Linked DNA regions of Macaca fascicularis. The protein of the gene in region 1 interacts with the protein of each later gene in a biochemical or structural test. Links are inferred from orthologs where the notes say so. Each region holds a gene or a part of one and is shown on either strand. Other genes may lie near its edges. The genes, in order: RXFP3 and RLN3.

The links.
Region 2: the proteins of RXFP3 (region 1) and RLN3 form a complex in vitro, tested with the Homo sapiens proteins (2 studies listed by BioGRID, with this or other methods). The link is inferred for Macaca fascicularis from reciprocal best matches to the Homo sapiens genes RXFP3 and RLN3.

The regions. Positions count from the first base shown.
Region 1 is NC_088380.1:34,565,461-34,569,749, reverse strand, and holds the start of RXFP3 (relaxin-3 receptor 1), read right to left. Parts: upstream 2,922-4,289; 5' UTR 2,337-2,921; coding exon 927-2,336; 3' UTR 1-926. UniProt on the Homo sapiens protein: Receptor for RNL3/relaxin-3. Binding of the ligand inhibit cAMP accumulation.
Region 2 is NC_088393.1:14,448,381-14,452,723, forward strand, and holds the start of RLN3 (relaxin-3), read left to right. Parts: upstream 1-1,388; 5' UTR 1,389-1,426; coding exon 1,427-1,616; intron 1,617-4,343. UniProt on the Homo sapiens protein: May play a role in neuropeptide signaling processes. Ligand for LGR7, RXFP3 and RXFP4.

The DNA.
Region 1 (4,289 bases):
GCTTCCTCCTCGCAACGCTCCAGCACTCCACTTCCAATTCTGCTACCAAGTGAGCATATGAGCCCCCTTTTACCTTTTGGGGCAGCAACCTGAATAAATTTCCTTAACCAGCCCTTCTAATTACACTGCGTCCGCTCCCTCCCTCAGTGACGCCACTCCCCAGAGAATCGCTCTCCCAAGCTGGTGACAGGTGTTATCCCCCTGCTAACGTCTGAGCTCCGGGGCTGTGCAGCTAGGTCGGGCTCAGTGTGTTCCCGCTGGCCCAGTCCGGAATGATAATCGTCATAATGACTCCATGGGAGGTGGCTTTCCTTTGCCGTTTCTCCTGGGGACGCATCAGGATGGTCAGTTCTCTTTCTTAACTCCAAAAACGTTTCTTGCCTCCTAGCTCTAGATTCCTGGGGCAGCCCCGCAGCAAGTAGGACCTTGGTGTTGCTGCAGTCTCGTTAGCCAAGGCGCAAAGGAGACTTTGTGGCGGCGGCTGCACTCTCCGCAGAAGTCGCAGGAATAAACGGGCACAATTGTCTGCGCATCATTTGGCTAAGCCCTGCTCGGTGTGCCAATTTATCTACATTTTTGCTGCTTCTCTCCGCTTCTGGGCGCCTTCACACTGCCCAGCGTGGGAAGAGTAAGGAAAGCTGTGGGGTGCGGAGCGGAGGTTGGCGGTCTGGCCCGTAGAGCTCATCTCTGCCCCTTTGCCAGCTTCCTCTCTCCACCTGATTTCGAAGCATCCCCTCTCCAGAGAAGGTCCTCCAGCCTATCCACAGGCTCCTCCTCCATGCTCTGTCCATCCTCCTCTCACCTACTTCTTAAATGCTTCCCCCCCGCCCGACTCTGCCCCAAACCCTCCTTAATCCGTTCCCCTCCTTCACCGCCCAGGGAAGGCCACCTTGCCGCGACGGCGTGCCCTGGGCCTGAGGCCCGCGTCAGTAGGCAGAGCTGCTGGGCAGCAGGTCGTAGCGCCCCCCGCTGTAGACCACGACGCCAGGTGGGTAGTAGAGCAGGTCCGGCTCCGTGGCCGCTCGGAGCGGCGCCAGGGCCTGCAGCCCCTGATCCTCGGGCTCCGGCTTGGTAGTGGCGGTGAAGGGGCGCATGCTGGTAAGCGAAGGAGACGCGATGCGCCACAGCAGGCTCTTGAGCGCCTTGCGGAACTCGCGGCGCACGAGACAGTAGAGGATGGGGTTGAGGCAGCTGTTGGAGTGTGCCAGGCACACGCTCACAGGGAACGCGTATACCTGGCACAGGAAATACTCCTGGCTGAAGGGCACTGCATTGAACTTGATGAGGATGCTCCAGGTGGTGAGCGCCTGGTTGGGCAGCCAACACAAGAAGAAGGACAGGACAACGATGGTCACTGATTTGGTCACCTTCGACAGTCTCCGGGCGCTGGCTCCGACCGGGCCTCCTCTGGCTACCGCGTCCCCTCCTTCCCGCCCTGCTACGCGGCGGTCGGAGATGAAGCGCACCAGCAGCAGGTAGCACAAGTTAATGACGCCCAGCGGCAGCACGAAGCCCAACAGCACCTTCTGCAAGTGGTAGAGGCCCAGCCAGAACTGCCTGTCGCGGCCCAGCAACTTGTCCGGGAAGCGCACCAGGCACAGCTCCTCGCCCATCACCTTGACCGTGGTGGAGAAAATGGCATTGGGCAGCGAGGACAGCGTGGCCAAAGCCCAGATGCACACACACAGCGCCTTGGCCGAGAAGCAGCAGCTGTCCCCCAGGCTCCGGCCGCAGCAGTCGCCCTGGCCGTGTCCTCGCGTCCGGTGGCTCTTCAGAGCCGAGGCCACCGAGTGGTAGCGTGTCACACTCATGGCAGTGAGGAAGAAGACGCTGGCGTACATGTTCATGGACGTTACCATGGACACGATCTTACACATGGCCTTGCCGAAGGGCCATTTGAAGTCAAGAGCGTTCTCCACCGCCCAGAAGGGCAGGGTGAGCACAAACTGAAAGTCCGTCAGTGCCAGGTTGGTGATGAAAAGGTTGATAGAGGACTTGCGCCAGCCCTGCATGTTCTTCATCAGGTAGAGCACCAGCAGGTTGCCCGCCAACCCCAGGGCGCACACCACCCAGTACACTACGCTGATAAGAATCCGCACCCGGGACTCGGTGTCCACGCTCTCTGCCCCGCCGCTGCCCGGAGGATGTCCTGGCGGCGCGCCGTCCGGCAACTCCAGCCCCAGCTCCCACCACAAGTCCGGAAGCTGCAGCGACGCGTTACCACTCGTGTTGGCAGCCTCCAGAAGGTCCGGGACCAGACTGAAGAGTTCTGCTAGCTTGTCCCCGCCTGCTGTCTTATTCATGGTAGCTATCGCGGCTGCATCGGCCATCTGCATGCGCAGGTACCTCTAGGTCACGTTCTGGGGACGGTTTACCCCGGTGTTGTTCCCAGGCTAGCCTGCGGGACGTGCGTGGGAGCTTTCAAAGTAGCTGCTGAAGAGAGAGCCCAGGAACTGGGTACTAAGCGCGTCCTGCCGCGCAGCGAACCGCCCTGGACGCAGGAGTTGAGCTCAGCGGCTGCTTTGGAGCAGAGTTGAGGAGCGCAGCCCATAAGGGAAGCACTCGGCGTCCAAGGGTTCTCAGGCCAAGCTCGGAGTCCCTAGGTCCTTATGTACAACGCAGACTTCCCCTCTCCGTGTCCCGCTGTCACTGGGGCATTGGTGCATAACTCCCACAGTCGCTCAATTTTGCGATTTGGGGCCGCTTGCTCCCTTTCAAATACCTTTGTCGGTTTCCTCTGGGACTGCTTGGATGAGGTTTCCGTCCTTGGAGAGAAAGAGATCGTAGAGTTCCATCCACCTCGCTCTGTTGCCTGGAGGTCAGTGGGTGTCTGCGTCTTTCTGCGGTTGTCAACTCCGGGTGGGTTGCCAGCGGTGCTCACCAGTTGCAGTGGCACTTGCATGGCCGAGGCGGCGGGCCCCAAGGAGCATGCGTAATCCGGGGGCGCCGCGAGCGGCGCTTTCCGAGGTGCTGAACCCAGCCGCGCCCGCGCCGCGAGGGAGAGCTGAGTGGCAGGCAAAGCCCACCCGCCAGCTCCCGTTTTCCTCCCCAAAGTTTCAGCAGGAGCAGTCTTAAGCCTTTATTTTGCACCCGCAGGAGAAAGTCGATTTTGACGTGAGTTTCCTCTTTCTTATTCCCAAACATTATGATTAGAAGTTTTTTTTTCTTTCTTCCTCACTCCCACTTTATCACTGGAATTATTCCATTTGGTGAGAAATGGTTCCAAAAATATGAGCTATCCTGCTTACTTTCCTTCTTTAAAGTAATAACAGTGGCCTCTTTTCATGCTCAAATGAGATGATGGGTACTTATTGGATACACAAAGGACAGCTCCACCTCCCAGCTTTAATTAGCTGACCACTTATGCAGTGTCTGTGTTTGTCAGGATTTTCAAAGGGTCTTCACATGGCAGAAGTCTGGGTTCAAGGGTTGCCCCTACGTTAATGTATTCTGAGAGGTGACACAAAAACAGAGCGAATAACTGATGAGCCTACTTCACAGAAATTAAATGCCCTAGGCCCAAAGCGCTTCAGCAAATTGTCTGATCACATACTGCCCACAGTCTCTCTACCTAGATGCAAATAGAATGGAGGATACCACCGGGCTGATCGTGAACCACCAGCCCTCCTATTTCCAGTACTGTTAGCATCAGGATTCTTTTTCAGACATTTTTCAGACTAATGGAAGTACATTCTAAGGACTCTTCCGAGGGAATGAGTGGAAACCATTTGAATTATTTCTCAAACTACAGTCTACATAAATGCCAGGTCAATCGCTCTTGTGTAAATTACACTTTTAAGGATTTACTTTAAAATTTTGAAATGTTTTCCCTTGGTCTGGGACTAAACTGAAACCAAAGTGTCTTAAGCATAATTGTCCTCACTCCTGGAGTCCTACAGAACTCCCAGCTTTACTTAAGGAGATAAAGAGGATGCAACCTTCAAGCTGAGGAGACAAGAACAGAAAAAGAAAGAAAAGAAAAGAAAGAAAGAAAAGGAAAGAAGGAAGGAAGGAAAGAAAGAGAGAGAGAAAGAAAGAAAGAAGGAAGGAAGGAAGGAAAGAAGGAAAGAAAGAAAGAAAGAAAAAGAAAAAAAGAATCTTGATTCCAAAGGACGTTTAGCCCTGAAAAGAGCACACACCTTGCTACGGATGCTGCACTGCTCTGTCCGCCCACTAGAGGGAGTCAGGGCTTTAGTAAAAACCTAACCAAACGAAAACCATCTCCTTTGATCAGTTCTTATCTGGAGATGACCCCTTCCCTGAGGATTCCTCCCGAAGCACAAGTTATT
Region 2 (4,343 bases), on another chromosome or scaffold:
CACTGTAGACTGTGCCTCCTGGGTTCAAGTGATTCTCCTGCCTCAGACTCCCGAGTAACTGGGATTACAGGCATGCGCCACCACGCCTGGCTTTTTTTGTATTTTTAGTAGAGATAGGGTTTCTCCATGTTGGCCGGGCGTGTTGGCGGGTGCCTGTAGTCCCAGCTGCTCGGGAGGCTGAGGCAGGAGAATGGCATGAACCCGGGAGGCAGAGCTTGCAGTGAGCGGAGATCGCGCCACTGCACTCCATCCTGGGCGACAGAGCGAGACTCTGTCTCCGGAAAAAAAAAAAAAAAAAATTAGCTGGGTGTGGTGGTGCGTGCCTGTAGTCTCAGCTACTCAGGAAGCTGAGGCAGGAGAATCGCTTGAACCTGGGAGGCAGAAGTTGCAGTGAGCTGAGATTACACCATTGCACTCCAGCCTGGTGACTGAGGAAGACTTCATCTCAAAACAAACAAACAAACAAACAACAACAACAACAAACGTGATACACTTCAATCATCCCGAAACCATCCCCCCAACGCTCCATCCATGGAAAAATTGTCTTCCATGAAACCGGTTTCTGGTGTCAAAAATGTTGGCATCTGCTGCCTCAGGACACCCTTCTGTGTCTCTGTTTCCTCATTTGTAATATGGGAATTGTCTTAGTCCTAAATTGATAACCCCATGCTCCTAAAAGTGTGGTTTCGGCTAGGTGTGATGGCTCACGCCTGTAATCCCAACACTTTGGGAGGCCGAGGCAGGCGGATCACGAGGTCAGGAGATAGAGACCATCCTGGCTAACACGGTGAAACCCCGTCTGTACTAAAAATACAAAAAATTAGCCGGGTGTGGTGGCGGGCGCCTGTAGTCCCACCTACTTGGGAGGCCGAGGCAGGAGAATGGCATGAACCCAGGAGGTGGAGCTTGCAGTGAGCCGAGATCGCGCCACTGCACTCCAGCCTGGGCGACAGAGCGAGACTCCATCTCAAAAAATAAAATAAAAATAAATAAATAAACAAATAAAATGCTTAGAGCAGTGTGCCTGGCCCCATAGCGCATACTGCACGGGCATTCATTGTTATTATTATCTTTGAAGAGGTCCAGGACCCTAATGTTGTGGGGGTCTGGTTGCATCCTCTTGCCCTGCCTGTTGGGATTATTCATTTCTGGTCTCTGCAGGATGGAGACCTTCTCGCCTTTCTGTCGATGATGACAATGAGCTGGGCCACGTCACCCTGTCCCTGGCGAAAGGTTATCACTTCACTGGGGACATGAGAAAGGTCGGGTTGCTGAGGCCGTGCCTGTCTCCCCTCTGCCGGAGAAGATAAGGGAGGCACTCAGCTTTCTTCAGGCAGAGTGTGGGGGAGCCACGATGTATAAATGGGGGGCCAAGAGGCAGCGGAGACACTGGCCCACTCGCACGTCCAAGGCATCTCTGTCCAGCATGGCCAGGTACACGCTGCTGCTGCTCCTGGCGGCGTGGGTGCTGACGGGGGAGCTGTGGCCGGGGACTGAAGCCCGGGCAGCGCCTTACGGAGTGAAGCTTTGCGGGCGAGAATTCATCCGAGCAGTCATCTTCACCTGCGGGGGATCCCGGTGGAGACGATCGGACATCCTGGCCCACGAGACTATGGGTGAGGCTGGGGAGAGAGTGGATGTAGGAGGGGAACGGGTGGCTGGATGGGTCCCAGGAGCTAAGGACAGAGATGAGAGGAGGTTGCTGGAGGAGGAGGGTCCTTGCCCTGCCACATTCAGCCAGGGACACCTGCCCAGCCTTGACACAAGGGCTCAGGAGTTAGCAGAGCTGCAGAGCTGGGATGGGGGGTTGCAAGCCATCCCTGGTGGCTGGAAGTCCGAGCACAGGTTACTCTTTTCTGAGCAGCTGCTATGTGTCCTGTGCAAAGCAAAGCTGCTGCTTGTATGCTCCGGAGGTGGGGGCTGGGAGAGCGCCATTGGCAAAGACAACACCAAAGTGGTTTCCAACCCTTTCCAGGAGATAAATGTGAAGGGTGTGATATACACATAGCCAGATTTTGTCACCTAATGCGTGACCTCTCTCCAGCAAGCTGGTTTCTCCTCCCGTCTCTGTCTTTTTTTTTGAGATGTGGTCTCACTCCATTGCCCAGGCTTGAAGGCAGTGGCCCAATCACTGCTCACTGCAGCCTTGACCTCCCAGGCTCAAGCGATCCTCCTGCCTCAGCCTCCAGAGTAGTTGAGACCACAGGCAACTGACACCACGCCTGGCTAGTTTTAATTTTTTTTTTTTTTTTTTTTGTAGAAACAGGGTCTCACTATGTTGCCTAGGCTGGTCTCGAACTCCTGGGCTCAAGTGATCCTCCTGAGATTGGAGTCTCTGAGTGGCTTTATCTTCAAATGGGAGACACAGTTCCTGAACCTTGCAGGATTAAGTGGTGTGATTAAGTCAAAAGAGATTAGGGCAGAGTCTAAGCAGGGCAGCGGCACAGTCTGGGATCTATCAGGAGAGTCGGAGGGAACAGAAGACCTAGCTTCATGAGGGGCAGGGGCCTGGGAAATAGATATTCATGTTGGTGAGAAGGAGGATAGGTATGAGCGTGGACCTAGAAGACACACCACTTGGATTCAGATAGTAACTCTACAACGTAATAGTTGTGTGTTCGTATGCTAATCTTTTTGTTTGTTTGTTTGTTTTTGAGACAGAGTCTCGCTCTGTCGCCCAGGCTGGAGTGCAGCGGCATGATCTCCGCTCACTGCAAACTCCGCCTCCTGGGTTCAGGCCATTCTCCTGCCTCAGCCTCCCGAGTAGCTGGGACTGCAGGCACCTGCAACCACGCCCGGCTAATTTTTTTTATTTTTTTTTTTAGTAGAGATGGGGTTTCACCATGTTAGCCAGGAGGGTCTCGATTTCCTGACCTCATGATCCACCCGCCTTGGCCTCCCAAAATGCTGGGATTACAGGCGTGAGCCACTGTGCCCGGCTTTTTTTTTTTTTTTTTTTTTGAGACAGAGTCTCATTCTGTTGCCCAGGCTGGAGTGCAGTGGTGCAATCTCGGCTTACCGTAACCTCCATCTCCTGGGTTCAAGTGATTCTTGTGCCTCAGCCTCCCAAGTAGCTGGGATTACAGGTGTGTGCCACCATACCCCGCTAATCTTTTTATTTTTAGTAGAGACAGGGTTTCACCATGTTGGCCAGGCTGGTCTCAAACTCCTGACCTCAGGTGATTCACCCTCCTCAGCCTCCCAAAGTGCTGGGATTACAGACATGAGCCACTGCGCCTGGCCATGCAAATTCTTTACTGAGTCCTGCCTCGGTGGTCTCCTCTGGAAAATAGGGGTGCTAACTGCACCCACCTCAACTGGTTGTCACTCAGAAGAATAAAGAAGTTAACCTGCTAAAGCACTTAAACGTTGTTTGACACACAGTAAGTGATCAATAAATTATTATTATTATTTTAGAGACAGGGTCTTGCCCTGTTGCCCAGGCTAGAGTGCAGTGGTATGATCACAGCTCACTGCAGCCTCAACCTCTTGGGCTCAAGCAATTCTCCTGCCTCAGCCTCCTGAGTAGCTGGGACTACAGGCTTGTGCCACCATCTCTAACTTATGCCACCATGTCTAACTTATTATTATTTGTAGAAACAGGGTAGTGCTGTGTTGCCCAGGCTGTTCTTGAACTCCTGGTTCTAGTGATCCTCCTGCATGGGCTCCTGGAAGTTCTGGGATTACAGGTATGAGCCACCATGCCTGAACTAAATAATCATTTTTGAGTGCTCATCATGTCCCAGACATTGTTCTAAGTTTTTTTTTTTTTTAATGGATATTAACTCCTCTACTCCTTATAAAACTTGAGAAGGTTGGAATAATTATTTTTTTCCACTTTGCAGAAAAGAACATTGAGGCTCCAATAAGTAAATTTACTTGCTCACGATTACAGCTTGGAGGGGCTGGATTCATGCTCAGTCAGCCCAGCTCCCAAATGTACCAGGTCCTCAATTAATAATAAAGAGTAAGGGAAAATAAATGACAGGGCTGGGTGCAGTGGCTCACTCCCGTAATCCCAGCACTTTGGGTGGCTGAGGTGGGCAGATCACTTGAGGCCAGGAGTTTGAGACCAGCCTGGCCAATATGGTGAACCCCGTCTCTACTAAAAATACAAAAATCAGCCAGGCCTGGTGGCAGACCCCTGTAATCCCAGCTACTCTCCCACCTACTCTGGCAGAGCCAGAATTTGAACCCAGGACCGGGTGGAATCAAAACTCTGAACTATGTCTGTGAACTATGTCTATAACTGTTGTCACAAGATCAGAGCTAGACCGTCCAGGAGCCAGGACTGTGGGTGCAGCGGCAGCTGAGCCCTGAGCACTAACTCTGTTCATCTTTTG